Schizosaccharomyces pombe: one gene and its partner. The protein of the gene in region 1 purifies or fractionates together with the protein of each later gene. This does not show direct contact. Each region holds a gene or a part of one and is shown in the gene's direction. Other genes may lie near its edges.

Region 1 (9,207 bases):
TGATAAATGCAAGTAAAAAAAAATATAACTTTCTAAGGTATATAGCTTTTTAAGCCTGAAAGAATCAAATCTTTCTTCGTTCCAGCCAAAGAGTCCTTAATTTCGTTTGCCCATTCAGCGCTCATCTCTTCTAAATCGTCCATAGTATTTTCAATTCCTCCTAACATATTCCCCCGTTGGGCTAAATGGTCGTTTATTTGAGCGAAGAATCCTTTCTGTTGTTGTTGCCTTCTTGGAGGGATATAACTTTGAGCAGACTGAGAAGTCATGGAAGGAACCGGGGTCAGTGGTTGCTTAACTGATTCTGCTGGGCGAGCTGAAATAACTTTAGGAGTCTCTAAAGTATGCACTTTACTTTCAGCCCTGTTTTCACCTCCGAGTAAGATATCTAGCTCTTCAGCAGATGTAGACTGTTCGCCCAGTAACCAATTCCACAAGGATTTACTAGGTCTTGGCGGTACATGGGAAGCATTGTGAGTAATAAGCATCATGGGTGCCAAATTCGCCAATGTTCTCCCACTTCCTAAAACACAGCCAAAGGCTAATTCATGTGCTCCTAACGTTGGGAAAATATAATCCCCATTGCCTAGAATATCACCTTCTTTGAGCCTAATGGAATAGTTAGCAAATTCATTTCAAGTAAACACCTTACCTATTTTTATCAATATCCAATGGAAGTTGCATTTTACGTTCCTCACGAAGGTTTGGGAGAGAATACCAATTCACCGAAAGATCAGAATTTACGCAAACTACGGAACCCATGTGTTTGGAAACAGTAGAAAGCACAAGAGCTGCTCGACAACAAACAGGTTTTCTCCAATCCAGGTTACCCACTTGATTATTAATTTTATTAAAAACAGAAATTCCTGAATCGCCAATATACACGAGGAAAACTTCCTGTGGTAAGGGATATCCAACGCTTTGTAATGAGGATCCAGTGGCTGTCGCGATCTGGCCATCTTGAGTTAAAGAGCATATTTTATAAATGTTCTTAATATCTAATTGTCGAGATGATTCAAAATAAGCAGAAAAGCGCCCTGAAGAGGAAGGGTCTATACGGAATAAAAGTGTCATCCCTCTATATGTTCCTGTGACTACGTAGATTGAGGAAGGGCTTCCTTTAGGGTTCATAACGACAAACTCGGCACTCGTAAGAAAATCGGGATCAGGTTTTCCTCTTCTCTCTAATCCAAGCTCCGAGATGCTGGTGTTACACAGTATATGGGGGCCACGCATGTCGATGATTGTAATTCCACCATCCTGATATCCTATACAAACAAAACCAATATTGCTCATTTGGTTCAATGTTACTCTTCCTCGTTTAAGATCAATATAATATTGAGCATGTAATGTTCCCTCTAGAACTAAGGTATCGTCCAAACGATATATTCCGTTAGCGAGCTGAGCTGGTAAATTTTCTTTATGATTTTTCCTTTTGCAAACAATGACACGCCCAAAACTATCAGCACAACTGAATTCTGGATTATAAGTGGAAAAAGAGGCAGTAGTTATAAAAGCTGAAGGCGTGAGATGCTTTCGCATTACAGAAGAGAAATCCAAATTTACGCAGAGAGATGGATTCATAAAACCCTGAGATATATCCCAAATCGATAAACTAAGACCAGTCGATGTTATAAGTAGATTACGCTCATCTAATTTCTTAAGATAGCCGGGACTAGGAGATCCGCCAAAAAGACAGGAGTAATGTGAATTAACGGAAATAGTATCTTCAATTTGATTCCAAACTTTTTTTGTTACAGTTTGAAATGCTATAACTCGAAAATCTGAAGCAAGGAAGCATAAAGAGGGGGGAATAGAAAGGCTCATGTTTGAAATATTTCCAGTAGAAATGTCGAGCAGCGATAACGAGTTGTCTTCCGAAAGAAGGAGAAGATTCTTGGGATTATGAGATCCATTGTAATGTGGTGAGCTAGAAGGAATCACCAGCATATCACGTACAGGGGGGATGTCAATAAAAGGAAAAAAGCGTTGTGAGTTTGGATTTGCGAAAAATTCCGCAAATGTTTCAACATCCTTTTTGGCAGGGAGATTTCGATAACTGAACAATGAAATTCCCTTTACCGGTGCTTCTTTCGGCAAACCACCTAACATCAAAATAAATGAAACTGTTGGGTCTTCACAACAACACCACCTCATAGACCTAATGGGCTCAAGCTCCGTCTTAGGAGGATTTCTCTGCATGGGGGTATACGTGTGTATGTTTGAATCGACAAAATTTCGGACTTGTACAGGATATTCTTGATCCACATCCCAGAATGCAAAAGTCGAATCAGTATAGTAACTAACAAAGTGATCACCCCAAGGACTCCACTCTATCCCTTTGACTATAGGTCTTCGATAATTATGGGGTGATAAAACTGCAGCTGTACTACCTGGTGCATACTCCAATTCATAAAAGCGTATAACTTCGTCAGTCCTTATTGAGTACAAAACAACGCCATCCGGATATGCAATCAAAATCACACCGAGATCCTTCGGGTGAATCTGAACGCTTACAACTGGGGATAGCTTTCCAGGAACTGGTGCATAAGAGTAGCCTGAAAATTAGTAATAAATTCAAATAAACAACAATGACCTCAACGTACCCATCATTCGCCATTCCTCGTGTCTTGGGACATACAAATTTGGAACTTTGAATTTTCCAAGGCAATGTCTAGTAACATCCCATGGCACAACGGAGCCATCACTCATTCCAAAAAAAACCCAATCAATAGTAGGATCCGTTACGGTACATGTAACTTTTTGCTTGAGAAAGTAAGTGGCAGCTGGTTTTGAAAGGTCACGATGTTTCATCAAGGGATAGCTTAAGACCGTATTTCGAGAGTCAATTACAATCAAATACGCCGCACAAAGGGCTATATGGACAATGGTTGAACAGTCTGGAACTATCACACTCTGGACATGCTGTTTACCGTAAATGTATATCCGATTAGTACTAGATACAATAGCTAGTAAGCCTTGTTGATGGTCTAAACACCATAATACTGGATTTAAGGAAAACCCAAATCGATTCAACTAATCTTTGTTATTAAACATTCAACAAGCATTGCTTCCCTACTTACGTCGTCTATCGATAGTGAAGCATTTGAAGACGTATGGGTCTTCAAATTGGATTTGGATAAAATTTCTTTTCCCTTACTTAGCTTTTTTTTAAAAAAGCTCATATTTTCCCAATTCTTGGTATAAATATACTAATCATGTTATACCCTCGTAGCATATACAAACTCACGCTCAACTCGTGTTAGAGAACGCTATTTTTGGATAACGTCTTGTGCCGTTAAACCAATAATAATGTAAGCTACGCAGTTTGGTATCTGATTTAAGGATACGTAAACTGCGGTGAGTTTTCCTTGTAACCTATTATATTACAATAAACAGGTTGTATGAGTAGCAACTGAGTATTGTATTAACTGTGTTATAATGTTACCTATCACTAATATAGCTCATAACTGAACTGAGGAACGAGGTTCAGTTGTAACGCTATTTATAATATTTCTAAATAGTTGTTATCAACTGGTAACTAGTATATAGATGGATAGTTACCCGTGATTATCAATAAACGGATCTTAGCTAGTATTCCAACATATGACATATAGTGATACACAACGTAGTGTATCATAGCGTAATGTAGTATTGCTGACAAATAATGAGACTTCTAATTTTATCCTTATAGCACTGAATTCGACTTTGCATCATTCACTAGTCAAACCGCAAGCGATTTTGAGCGGGCCTAAAGCCAGACACCAAGCTGGAGATTGCTTGGTTTACCCGTGAAGGTTTATAGAATCGAAATATCAGTTTTACATTGATAAAGTATCTATTTTTAATTCTCTATTATTTTCTAACAGGCTTCTGTGGAATTGGCGGTATCATACGGGCTGCATGTCAAAACACATGGGAAGTCTTTTTGCAATATCTTTAAACCCTGAGTACTAGTGATTCAACATTTCTCTCCTTTCTTAATATTTTATTTACCTGCAAGAAATTGGGCTATTACTAACATCCCAAGTCTGTCTTTTGCAAATTAGTTCACTCGTTTCAGCCGAATCTTAATTTTTTTAATCATAAACTACTTAAGCAGCAATCTCCAATTCGTTTGACAAAAAAAAGGTTTTTTATCTTGAATTCTTTTCAAAGTAACTAATACTGTTCTGGGTATATGGCTGCCGATATCGGATCGCAGTCATCAGGCTCTTTGGAAGAACGGTTTGAACAGTCTCTTCATCTTCAGAATGTCGATAAGCAAGATTGGTCACTTAACAGTGTACTTCAGTTTTTAAAACTATACAAATTTAACAAAGAATGGGAAGACGTTTTTATTAAAAGTCGAATCGAAATGGATTTATTTATCAATTTGGCCGATCAATCAAAAGCCGAGGAATTCGCCTTTAAAAATAAATTGAGCAAGGAGTCTGCCATCCAATTGAGTAGCTGTATTCGCAAAACACTTTTAGCACCTTCTTCGACTCGCGTACCTAGCAAAAACTCGTCTTACGAAACATTAACTTACAGCGCCAAAGATAGTTCGGATGACGTTTTTACAGAAACTAACTCTGGTTTCCGCTCTTCAAATCAAAATTCGTCCCTCAAAAGCTTTCAGAGTGTTCCTGATAGCAATGTGAACGTGTTTGGTGGCTTCGGTGGATCAGTAGTCGACAACAATGAGCTATTGAGCACAGGAAAAAACTCCCATCAAACAACCTCTTTAAATTTGGAAGGCTCTCCTATAAACTTACACGCTTACAAAGGAACTGTCACTTCAATAATTAACGATGACAGCAGAAACATTAATAAAAAAACATTGTCGAAACAACCTGTATCCGAACATAAAGAAAAACAAACTAGCTTTCTCCGTCGTTTCCGGGTACCTGGGTTTTCTCGTGACAAGGATAAAACTAAAGATTGCCCTTCTTCAAATTCGAACCCATTCCATTTAGCTTCTTCAAATGTGAAAACATTAGACGCGTCTTTGGATCAAGGTGAGTGGGTACCTCGTATTCATCGTTTAGAAAGTCAAATTGGTTTAATATCCAAAAAGAAGTCATTTGTTCTTGCTACTATGGATGATATGAAATTCACAGTAGTGGATATTACCAACGTCCAAAATGCTACTCAGCTACGTAAGCTAATAGCTAAGAGTATGTATTTAGACATTTCAATTGACCAGTTTGATTTGTTTCTCACGGAAGTCGGCGGGGCTCAATACATAGAAATATTAGATGATAGAAAGCTTGATATTGCAAGGCTTTATTCTGATGAATTTGGAACTATTAAATTTTTCGTAAAGCCATCACAAAATGAAGAATCGGGTATGGATAGTGATACTTATTTATCTTTTGGCACAAAATCAAGTTCAACTTATAAAGCTGATGATGACTCAATATATCATCGCAAGGAAGATTTTAAAAAGCAACCAAGTTACCCTGTGCTTACTTCGGATTTTGAAATTACTGATGCAGGACCTAATTTATCATTATCAGGGCATCAACCTGATAATAAATACTACAAAGGTTTTAGTTCGGCACCGAATTTGGCAGTTGTTCCAGAATTACCATCTCGACGTTTTCGAGGGTTTGAAAAAATCCGTGGTGCTAAAGGAGAAATGGCTACAAAAATTTTGGATGCCACTGAAGCCCAAAGTGAAAAAAACAAATTTACCGTTTGTAGACCTCACAAGAAGGTCACATTGAAAATGCCACTTAATTCCGGCTCTTCCGCTCCCCAAAGTCCTTCATCTAATACTTCTGCTTCTGTTTTAACTAGAAATTTTGTGGCACATAGAGATCCTCCACCCCCACCCACAGAGACATCTAGTTTACGTCGAAAAAATACATTGACTCGTAGACCAAGTATTCGTCACGCTCGGTCCTCTCCTTACATTGATACCGGACATAACGAAGCTAGCAAATTTTCACATACGTCTTTTGACCCCAAAGCATCTAGTAAATCTTCTAATTCATTAAAGGAAAGTGTGGAAGCTTTATCAGAAATACCTTTTGAAGATGCGCCTGCACTAGACGAATCGGATCTTTCTGGGGATCCCTTTTGGGCTATACAGCCCAAACAATCTTCCTCCCAAGTACCTAAAGAAAATCATCACAACATTCAATCCAAACTTTCCATTAACACAGAGGCTGCTACGGATTTGAAAGCAAATGAACTATCTTCGCCTAAAACTCCTGAATACTGTAGAGGTGATGACAGATCCATTAGTTTATCACCGTTATCTTATCGTTTAAGAAAGTCCAAACATATTCGTGAATCCCCACCGTCTTCAAAGGTTATCAATTCTGGTAACTGGGAAGTTCGTCCATCTGCTGATGATCTTTATGAGGATGTTGATCGATTTTTTCCCCGTTATGATTTGGATAAAGTACTTGTAGTGGACCAAAGCCGCATGGTTTCTTCCCCTTCAAAGGTATCGATACGTCCGAAAATGAAGTCTGTACGATTATTAGCCCGCGAAGCATCTGAAGCTCGGAAAGAAATACGACATAACGCGAGACGCAATAAATCTGGAAATCTTCTACGTCGATCAAGTACGAAACTTTGGGGCTCTAGGATTGTAGAACTAAAACCAGATACTACTATAACTTCTGGATCAGTTGTTTCACAAAATGCCACGTTCAAATGGATGAAAGGAGAATTGATTGGAAATGGTACTTATGGTAAGGTATTTTTGGCTATGAACATTAATACGGGTGAATTGATTGCAGTAAAGCAAGTTGAAATACCACAAACTATTAATGGCCGTCATGACCAATTACGCAAAGATATCGTGGATTCCATTAATGCAGAAATTTCTATGATTGCCGATTTGGATCACTTAAATATAGTGCAATATCTGGGTTTCGAAAAGACGGAAACGGATATAAGTATATTCCTGGAATATGTTTCAGGTGGTTCAATTGGTCGATGTTTGCGGAATTATGGTCCTTTCGAAGAGCAACTGGTCCGTTTTGTATCACGCCAGGTGCTCTACGGGTTGTCTTACTTACATTCTAAAGGTATTATACATCGAGATTTAAAGGCTGACAATTTGCTCATTGATTTTGATGGAGTTTGCAAAATTTCAGACTTTGGAATATCTAAGCATAGTGATAATGTGTATGACAATGACGCAAACCTGTCCATGCAAGGATCCATCTTTTGGATGGCACCTGAAGTAATTCATAATGATCATCAAGGATATAGTGCTAAGGTCGACGTCTGGTCCTTGGGATGTGTAGTGTTGGAAATGTTAGCTGGTCGTAGACCGTGGTCTACAGATGAGGCTATCCAAGCTATGTTCAAGTTAGGTACCGAGAAAAAGGCGCCTCCTATTCCTAGTGAATTGGTGTCTCAGGTATCACCCGAAGCGATTCAATTTTTGAATGCATGCTTTACTGTGAATGCTGATGTAAGGCCAACCGCAGAGGAATTATTAAATCACCCGTTTATGAAATGTGACGAAGAATTCAACTTTAAGGACACGAATCTTTACGACATGCTTTGTAAAAGAAAGAGCTAAATTGGTCGCAATTATTATTTATTACTTAGCGTTTCCTCGCAGGGGCATGCATTCTCAATTTCTTCTTATAGCTATTTATTTAATATTGAAATTAATTTTGAAAATTATTACATTATTATACAAACAAACATACATGATCATTTTCAATTTCTACAATGTATTTAAAAGTAAATTTTCATTTTGTCAAAATTGTTTCGTTTATTTAAAATTAAAACTGATATTAATAAGATGTACTCTTCCCGTCTGAAACCTTCCTTTTTTTGAGTTCCCTAGTATTTCGCTTTGGTAAACTTACCTTGTTAAGAGGATTAAAACCCCGTTTCCCAAATTTATTTTTTCCTACATCAGAGTCTAAGTCAGCAATAAAATTCTTTTGATTTTTATAATCAAAAGGTGCTTCATTGATAATTGGACTGTCATTAGAAACATGTTCGGCTTCAATAGTAAGTTTTCCGCTGTTCTTCTTTTTCTTCTTTTGCTTCCGTTTTTTTGACACTGAAGTTGAAGCTTCCGAAGGTTCAATATCTTCATTTCGCTCCTCTATGGGGTTTGAGGGTTCTTTATGATTAAGCTTAGAAGAATCCCTTTTTTGCTTGTTCAGCCCTAAATCCCTAATGACTATAGGCTCTTGTTTCTTCTCTCCATTCAGACTCGGGTTTGCAGCTTCAGTTACAGTGGACTGCTTTACATTCAATTCGGATTCAACATGCCCTTGAGTACAAGGAAGAGTTAATGAAAAAGGAATATTCTGGTTCACTATAAAGAGTCTCTCTTTACGAGCTTTCCGTAAATCATCTTGCGACTGTCCCTCAATCCAAAACGCAGATCCATTTGCCAGCAAAGTCTTTAGTTTACTTCTATTTTGTTTAGAAATCTCGAAAACACTGGAGTCAACTTTGTAATCACCCAAAGTATTCGATTCGGAAAAAACTGCTAGCGGTTGATTTTGCTTCTCAACTTCTTTAAATTGGGATTTCTCACGATCTACTTGCTCATTATACAACTTTTCGGCTTCTTGAACGACTTTAACGATATCTTCAACATACATGCGAGCAATTGGTGTCAATTGCTTAGAAATTGAAAACACATCAGCCGCTTCAACCGGTTTACTGGCGGCAATCGCAATAAGTAAACGATTTGGCAACACATAGCGAACACTTTCATCTTCTTTTCGGGCTACGGAATCTCTCCAATCGTGCAGTGCTCGATAAATCATCAAAGCTTCCCGTCCAATTATTTTAGAAGAGCCAAACTTAGTAAGTACATTTCTCCAGCCATCAGTACCAAGTCCATAAATAGGATCATAAGGCTCAAGTTCATACTTTCTAAGAGATATTTGTTTACTGGAATTGAACACTGATTGCATAAGATTTTCTTTTCTTTCAGCTGATTTTGATATGAGTTCATTTCGTAAATGATCCCAAATATATAACAAATAATGCGTATCAGATTGAGCATATTTTAACATTTCCCGAGGCAAAGGACGGATTCTCCAATCAGCCATTTGGTATCTTTTATCTGCATCATAATCACAATACTTTTGTAACAGAAAAGCCAGACCATGACCCTCAAATCCTAAAACTTTAGTAGCATAGTATGTATCAAATAAGTTTACAACGTAAAGCCCGAAATCTCTTTGCAGCCAAATGATATCCATAGTTGCACCATGAAAAACT
Region 2 (6,327 bases), on another chromosome or scaffold:
GATAAAGCAGATCTACAGACTTCCTTGATATATGAGCCAGACAGTCCAGCAGTGGCATTAACAACTCCATTCCAATCAAAGTTCGCTTCTAACGGTACCTTTTTTAAATAAAGTTCTAAAATCTTGCGACGCTGTTCGGCATTTGGAAGAGGTATGGAGAATACTTTAGGCATACGACGCCGAATGGCCTCGTCGATGTCAGCTGGTCGATTAGTAGCACCCAAAACAAGAACCCGTGACTGACCACTCAATAAACCATCCCACATCGACATAAATTCAGCTTTAATTTGAGCCATTGCTTCATGGTCTGTCCTTTGGCGTTGCCGCAAGAAAGTATCAATTTCATCGATAAATATTATAGTAGGCTCAAGCTTACGAGCTAGTGTGAATAATGCGTCCACAAGCTTGTTTGATTCACCGAACCATTTGTCTGTTAAAAGGCCCACACTCACATTTATAAATGTAGCTTGACTTTGCTTGGCTAATGCTTTAGCTAGCATTGTTTTACCACATCCAGGAGGCCCGTACAAGAGTAAACCCTTTGGACACGACAAAAGTCCGCCATGGGTGTCAAACACTTCAGGGTATTTTAAAGGAAAAAGTACATCTTGCAAAAGCTGATTAACATGTTCATCCATACCTCCAATATCATCAAAGGAAACATCGATTTCGCTGGGTAGAACGAGCTGTGATGCAACAATCTGCTCATACTCATTTAATTCCAGAGTCTCCAATTCCTTGACTTGTTCCCCAGCCCACTCATCAAGTCGCTTACGGCTTTTGGAAACTGTATCCTGCCTTTTTTGTCGATACGGATCTAAAGTAGACAAAAGTTTATGTGCTGCGTACCAAGAGCAACCAAATGCTAAGGCATAGACAACGATCTCTTTAATTGCCCTTTTAGTCGTCGGATTCATAATCAATTCCCCAGTAATAAACTTCAAAATGCAAGCACACAAAATTTTATGCAGTAAATTTGTCTGGTGGCACGCTACTACTATTGGGGCGGTTGGTATGTTCAGCTAAATGGGTAAAGAAGATATACAAAGTTGATCGTACTTTGCTACATTGTTTGGAAAATATATTCATTGAAAAAATTATTTTTAAATAAAAAATTTTCATTTTCCTAAAGAAACAATCCCAATGGTTTCAAAGCGCAGTTATCAATTATCAAAAGTGGTAATGTAACAATAAATATTTACTCTCTGTGCCAAAAGATTTGGTTATAGATGAAATAACAATTAGTAAACAATAATAATTAAGCAGAGATTTTTTCTGAGTAAATAACCCATTGAAAAATGAGAATAAAAATGGAGCGAGAAACCTTTTAGGAGATTTGGATATACTTATAAATATCCAAAAGGGAACCTAACGGAACTATATACAAAACAATAAAGGACATATCAAGACTAAATCGCTATGCCCGTCCAGTGAAGCTCACTGTTTAACATATCCTAAACGGAAAAACCATTCCTATCATTCGTAAATTCACGAAAATTTTTAAATTATATACAATTTTTTCCTCCTAGGATTTATTTGGCCTTGTATTGAGTCGAACTTGACGACGAAGGATTTTCACCTTCACTAGCAATGCCTTCTTCTGAATCAGATTCGGGATTACTAGGAGGATGCAATATAGACTGTAGGTGGTTCATTTGCTTTAAAGTTTCATCAAAAATATCTTTTCTCAAATTCCATGCTTTTACATAATTCGCGTTTTCTTCTTCTAACTCACGAATAGCATCTTGCAACTTTCCTATTGATCTGTAAACCCGGTCAGTCTAAAATATTCAATATAAATCTGGAAACTTACTCTTGTTGTTCTGTTCTTGATCTCAATCCTTTTGACATTATTGGCTTGGCCAACTCGTCGTATTGTTCACGCTTTCTTAATTCTTCTTGGGCAACTAGTAAATCTTGCTCAAGCTGGCTTATTTCGGTTTTTTCTGCTTCACAAAATGTTTCTGAAAATATTAATAAAAACATCACTGTACTTAAAGTTACGAATTTAATCACATACGAGTCTTCTTCAGTTCTCCTTCGTAAACATCCACTTCTTTAGCATTCATGTCTAATTGCATTTGCAATCGAAGCCAAAAAGCAGAGAGAGCAGAAAATTCAATTTCTAAATCCCTTAAGTTTGCTTCGTCTACATTTTGAGCAGCAAAACCAAGACACCGACTAATCAACCGTTTCAAAGGCCGTTCTTCCACAGTTAAGCGCGATCGAATCGCCGTCTCTGACATATCGGTTAACTTAATATTTTCAAAAAAAAAATTATTTATAGCATACCCTCCATAATGAATTGAGTAAAAAAAAAGCAAATTCACTATACAATTTAGTTGGGCGCTAAGTCAGTAGCTGGAGTGTTCGGAGTTTTAGTCACCGTATTTTACCGATGTTTACCGGCAAAAAGTTATTAGTACGATTATTACCTAAGAAATGTAAAAACGCTAACAAGGATTGCAGTTTGATATTGCTATAGAACAGGCGGGCAAAATGATTTTACCTCTTTTTCCAGAGACACAAGTTCATGTTTTTGTATATGAAAATGTTTCTAACTGTGCTGCGATTCATGAACAACTAATAAGCCAGAATCCCATTTATGACTATGCGTTTCTCGATGCCGCTACTATTCTATATAAAAAGCAGGTTTATAGCGCTATTATTAGGGCTCTCGAAGATAGAAGGGACGAACAAATGAAAACTAAGACGATTCACTCAGAGGTTATTTTGTCATTGTCCCCAAAAACCGAAATTTCTAGTGCGTTCCGACAATTCAGCATGACAAAAAAATCTAAAAACATTGTAGTGGTAAAAATTGATAGCAAACTTACAGAAGAAGAAGAATTTGAGCGCTTGGACAAACTTGTGGAAGGTAATAGGGTCGAATTTTCTGACGAAGAGTTACAAAAATTAATAGACTTCAAGGTGTTAAAAAAGAATTACAAATTGGATCCCTCTACGCTTGAGAATCCTTTGGCCTCTATATTATCTTCGATAGCTCTACGTGGTTATTCTTAAAAACATATGTTCTAGCAAATCTGATCTTTTGTCAATGTTTCACAATTGATTTGACTATTTTTCTATGCGGCTTGAATGATAATGATGAGAGTTCCAAATGGAACGTTGTGTGGATTCTTCTATTCCTTATAATTTTTTCCTCTCTCAAATGACTGTACAAACTATTTAGCAAGCACCTACATAATCAATTTTTGATTTACGAATTGGTAAAGGATGGCACGTAAAGTTATGCCCTCTGGTTTGGTTCAGTTTTATGATCTCTTGACAGTTTTACTAAAGTAACTAAGGGCATTTCATTACGATTATCTGTTTCGATACTTTTACCTAGGGAATGCTTTAGTGTTATTTGACATCATGTTTTGTTCTTGTGCAATATTTTTTGCTCAGGTCTATTGGCGATGAATTACTATATGGTGGATCTCAGTGCAAAAAGTTTACCATTATGTGAATAGTTATTAAAAGTTTAATGGGATTATAAATTAATGGGTTTTTTATTGCGCACCTTATGCTCCTGTTATAAAGAAAAGCAGGTCGCAAAGGTAAGAACTATTTTTATACAACAATAAAGGTTTTTACATCGTATGTTTTACAATTAACTGGCAGCTCTTTGTCAAAATTGTTTATTTACGGATTTAACTTGCCTTCTTGCGGTATTGACTGCTAAGCCGGAATTTGTGATATCAAGCCATCCGTTTCCCAGTCACGCGAAAACTCTTCCTTATGGAAATTTCATTTTAACAAGTACAAATCTGTTAAAACTACATTCATATAATCATATGCAGGCAGCCGATTAGAGAAAAACTAAATTTCTTAGGCAGAATTGTCATTATCCGTCAATACCGCGTTTTTTTTATTTTCCGCTTTGATTTTTTTTATCATTCTTTTTGGTTCTTTTATTTTTGTTTTTATTTGTTTTGTTTTCTTTTTTTCCTTTTCAAAAGTCATTTGAAGACAAAAACTCAACGTTGAAGAGAGCATTTGTTCATCTGTTGACTTTTCGCCAATACACCTGTTTTTTTATGGACTTGCTAAGTATAGTGTAAATTTAACGCTGTCGTTGATCCGTATGATTTCTTTTGATTAATTTAAATCGTTATATGTGACACTAGCAATTTTTGCTTCATGGCGGAAGAGACTGAAGAGGATTATTTAGTTGTGGGTCGTGATTACTTGTACCCCCCAGATCATGAACTGCACTATGGGTTTCATGCTCGTGTGATTGAAGAGGAGGAGGAGCGATTTGTAGATGATACCTTTGATGAAACAATCGAAGGATCGGATGACTCCGAATCAATAGATGATACGGAAGTATTTTACGATGCTGAAGAATCTGAAAGCACTCACCCTTCTGCTTCTTTCAACGTCCTTGCTGACGCCGTTGCGCTTTATGATTTCGAGCCCCTCCATGATAATGAACTCGGTTTTACTACTGGTCAGAGACTTTGTATTTTGTCGGAATCCAGCGATGGTTGGTTGATTGCATACGATGATGCCTCAGGAAGAAGCGGGCTTGTTCCTGAGACGTTTGTTAAATTAGAGGTATAAAAGAGCGTTGAATTGAACCCTTTTTACTTTTTCTTTTTGTCAAATTGATTTTAAAATGTTATTCCTTATTTTATGTTCCAAGATTTTCTGGATCCTCTCCTTTATATATAAGAATCCGAAGTGTTACGGGAAAAAAATTCGGATTGTCACGCTTCTTATGAATATTATTTAAATGTACGCCTTTAAAGCAACTATCATACAATTCTCCTTTGGGTAAATAACTAACCTTGGGATGTGTCGTAACTTGGGACTTATTTTTGATTTGTTATAAGGATGAAATGAATGTTCTATCTTATGGACCTTACAAGAAAAACTATAATATTGTCAAATATAATCATATGAGATGAGTTAAGCTACATAAAACTCTTTGAAACTTTATTTTATATTATTGCAACCTTCTAATAACTTTACATCTTCTTATCCAAAGAAGAAGGGTTAGAATGTACCGTGTTTTACGGAAGTTCCATTCCCGTAGGGTTACAATGTGTTGCTAGAATAAACCGTAAGTCATAGTACATATAGAGGCCAATTCTGTAAACTTTTTTAAAGTCTATGGAAAACCCTCTATGTGTCTCCAATAGAGAACGGACATCTCTTTCTGATTAGTATATACGTTTTCATAGTCTCTTCATCCTGAGGTAAATTGTACAAAACGCTGTAGTTAAACATGTGATCGAGTTAAATAGATATCTTCATAGTTCAATATACCATTAGATTTTTTTAAACAAAATCATAACGAGTACGAGGTCGTTTTGGAGAAATAATATCTGCAAATGCTGAACGTTTTCTTGGTGTGGAAGGATTGGAAGACGAGGATCTTTCATTTAATGCTTCCTTGAACCAAGTCTTGTCATTCAATAAAGACTTTTGATCACGAATAATGGACATTAACGATCCTGGACTAGTGTCGGTTTCTGACTCGAATAAGTGATGATTGATAAGAGGAAACCATACCATCTTGGCAATCGTCTCTGGTGGAGTAAGCCAAAGGGTCCAATTCCATTCTAAGAAAATATCTTTAGCTATTTTTGAGGTACAGAAAATTTTTAAAGATCCCTCGTCATTTGAGCCTCGTAGTTGAATTCTACTTTCAGAAGAAACATTCACCAGCACTTCAGCCAGTACATCGACTAACGTTTCAAACGTTTGAAATGGATCGATAGGACATCTTTCGCTCTGTTTAAAAGTTAATATAACTCTTGGTTGAGAGAAAGGTGTTAATTTGGTTGCATTTATAACTGCTTTTCCCCTGAAAGCATAGTAGCAATGTAGTTGTTAACTAATCTTACCTCTGCCTGATTGACGATTTGATTGCGGCTACATGTACAGGACCAAACACGCACTAGGTCTGTAATATGAATGACTTGTACAGCCTCATTACTTTCTGCGTCGAAGCTAGCCTGTATAAAATGAAACCTGTGGCCACGTAGCTGCACCCAAGACATCAAGTATAAACAAATGCAATGTCTTGTTCAGTATCTCAAATTGATTATAACAGCAATTCAATTGAAAATATTAAAGCTAAATCACTAAAATAGAAGAAATAAGCTCAGCAATGGTCACAGTTGAGAATTCGAGTTTGCAAAGTAGTATTGGTATTGATGAGAAAATTAAACAACCGATATATGCCAGAGTAAACAATAACTATGCCAAGTTATTCTTTAAACTTTAGAATGTGAAAATTAGATCAATTGGAATGCTTTTGTAAAATATTGTCTAGTGGTTTGAAAGTAGCCAGCGAAAGACAACACAAACAAG

The links.
Region 2: the proteins of mkh1 (region 1) and skb5 purify together in Schizosaccharomyces pombe (affinity purification with western blotting; 2 studies listed by BioGRID, with this or other methods). This does not show direct contact.

What each region holds. Positions count from the first base shown.
Region 1 is NC_003424.3:611,822-621,028, reverse strand, and holds mkh1 (MEK kinase (MEKK) Mkh1), read left to right. Parts: upstream 1-3,753; 5' UTR 3,754-4,180; coding exon 4,181-7,531; 3' UTR 7,532-7,660; downstream 7,661-9,207. Other genes in the region: sro7 (Lgl family protein), read right to left, coding at 33-609, 653-2,558, 2,607-3,036, 3,084-3,185; exosome 3'-5' exoribonuclease subunit Rrp6, read right to left, coding at 7,752-9,207. UniProt on the Schizosaccharomyces pombe protein: May regulate cell morphology, cell wall integrity, salt resistance, cell cycle reentry from stationary-phase arrest, and filamentous growth in response to stress. Activates the MAP kinase kinase skh1/pek1 by phosphorylation.
Region 2 is NC_003421.2:918,923-925,249, forward strand, and holds skb5 (Shk1 kinase-binding protein 5), read left to right. Parts: upstream 1-3,711; 5' UTR 3,712-4,146; coding exon 4,147-4,569; downstream 4,570-6,327. Other genes in the region: yta4 (ATPase Msp1), read right to left, coding at 1-917; THO complex subunit Tho7, read right to left, coding at 1,533-1,764, 1,814-1,964, 2,021-2,239, 2,293-2,299; EKC/KEOPS complex subunit Cgi121, read left to right, coding at 2,500-3,024; XRCC4-like factor xlf1, read right to left, coding at 5,290-5,745, 5,859-6,014.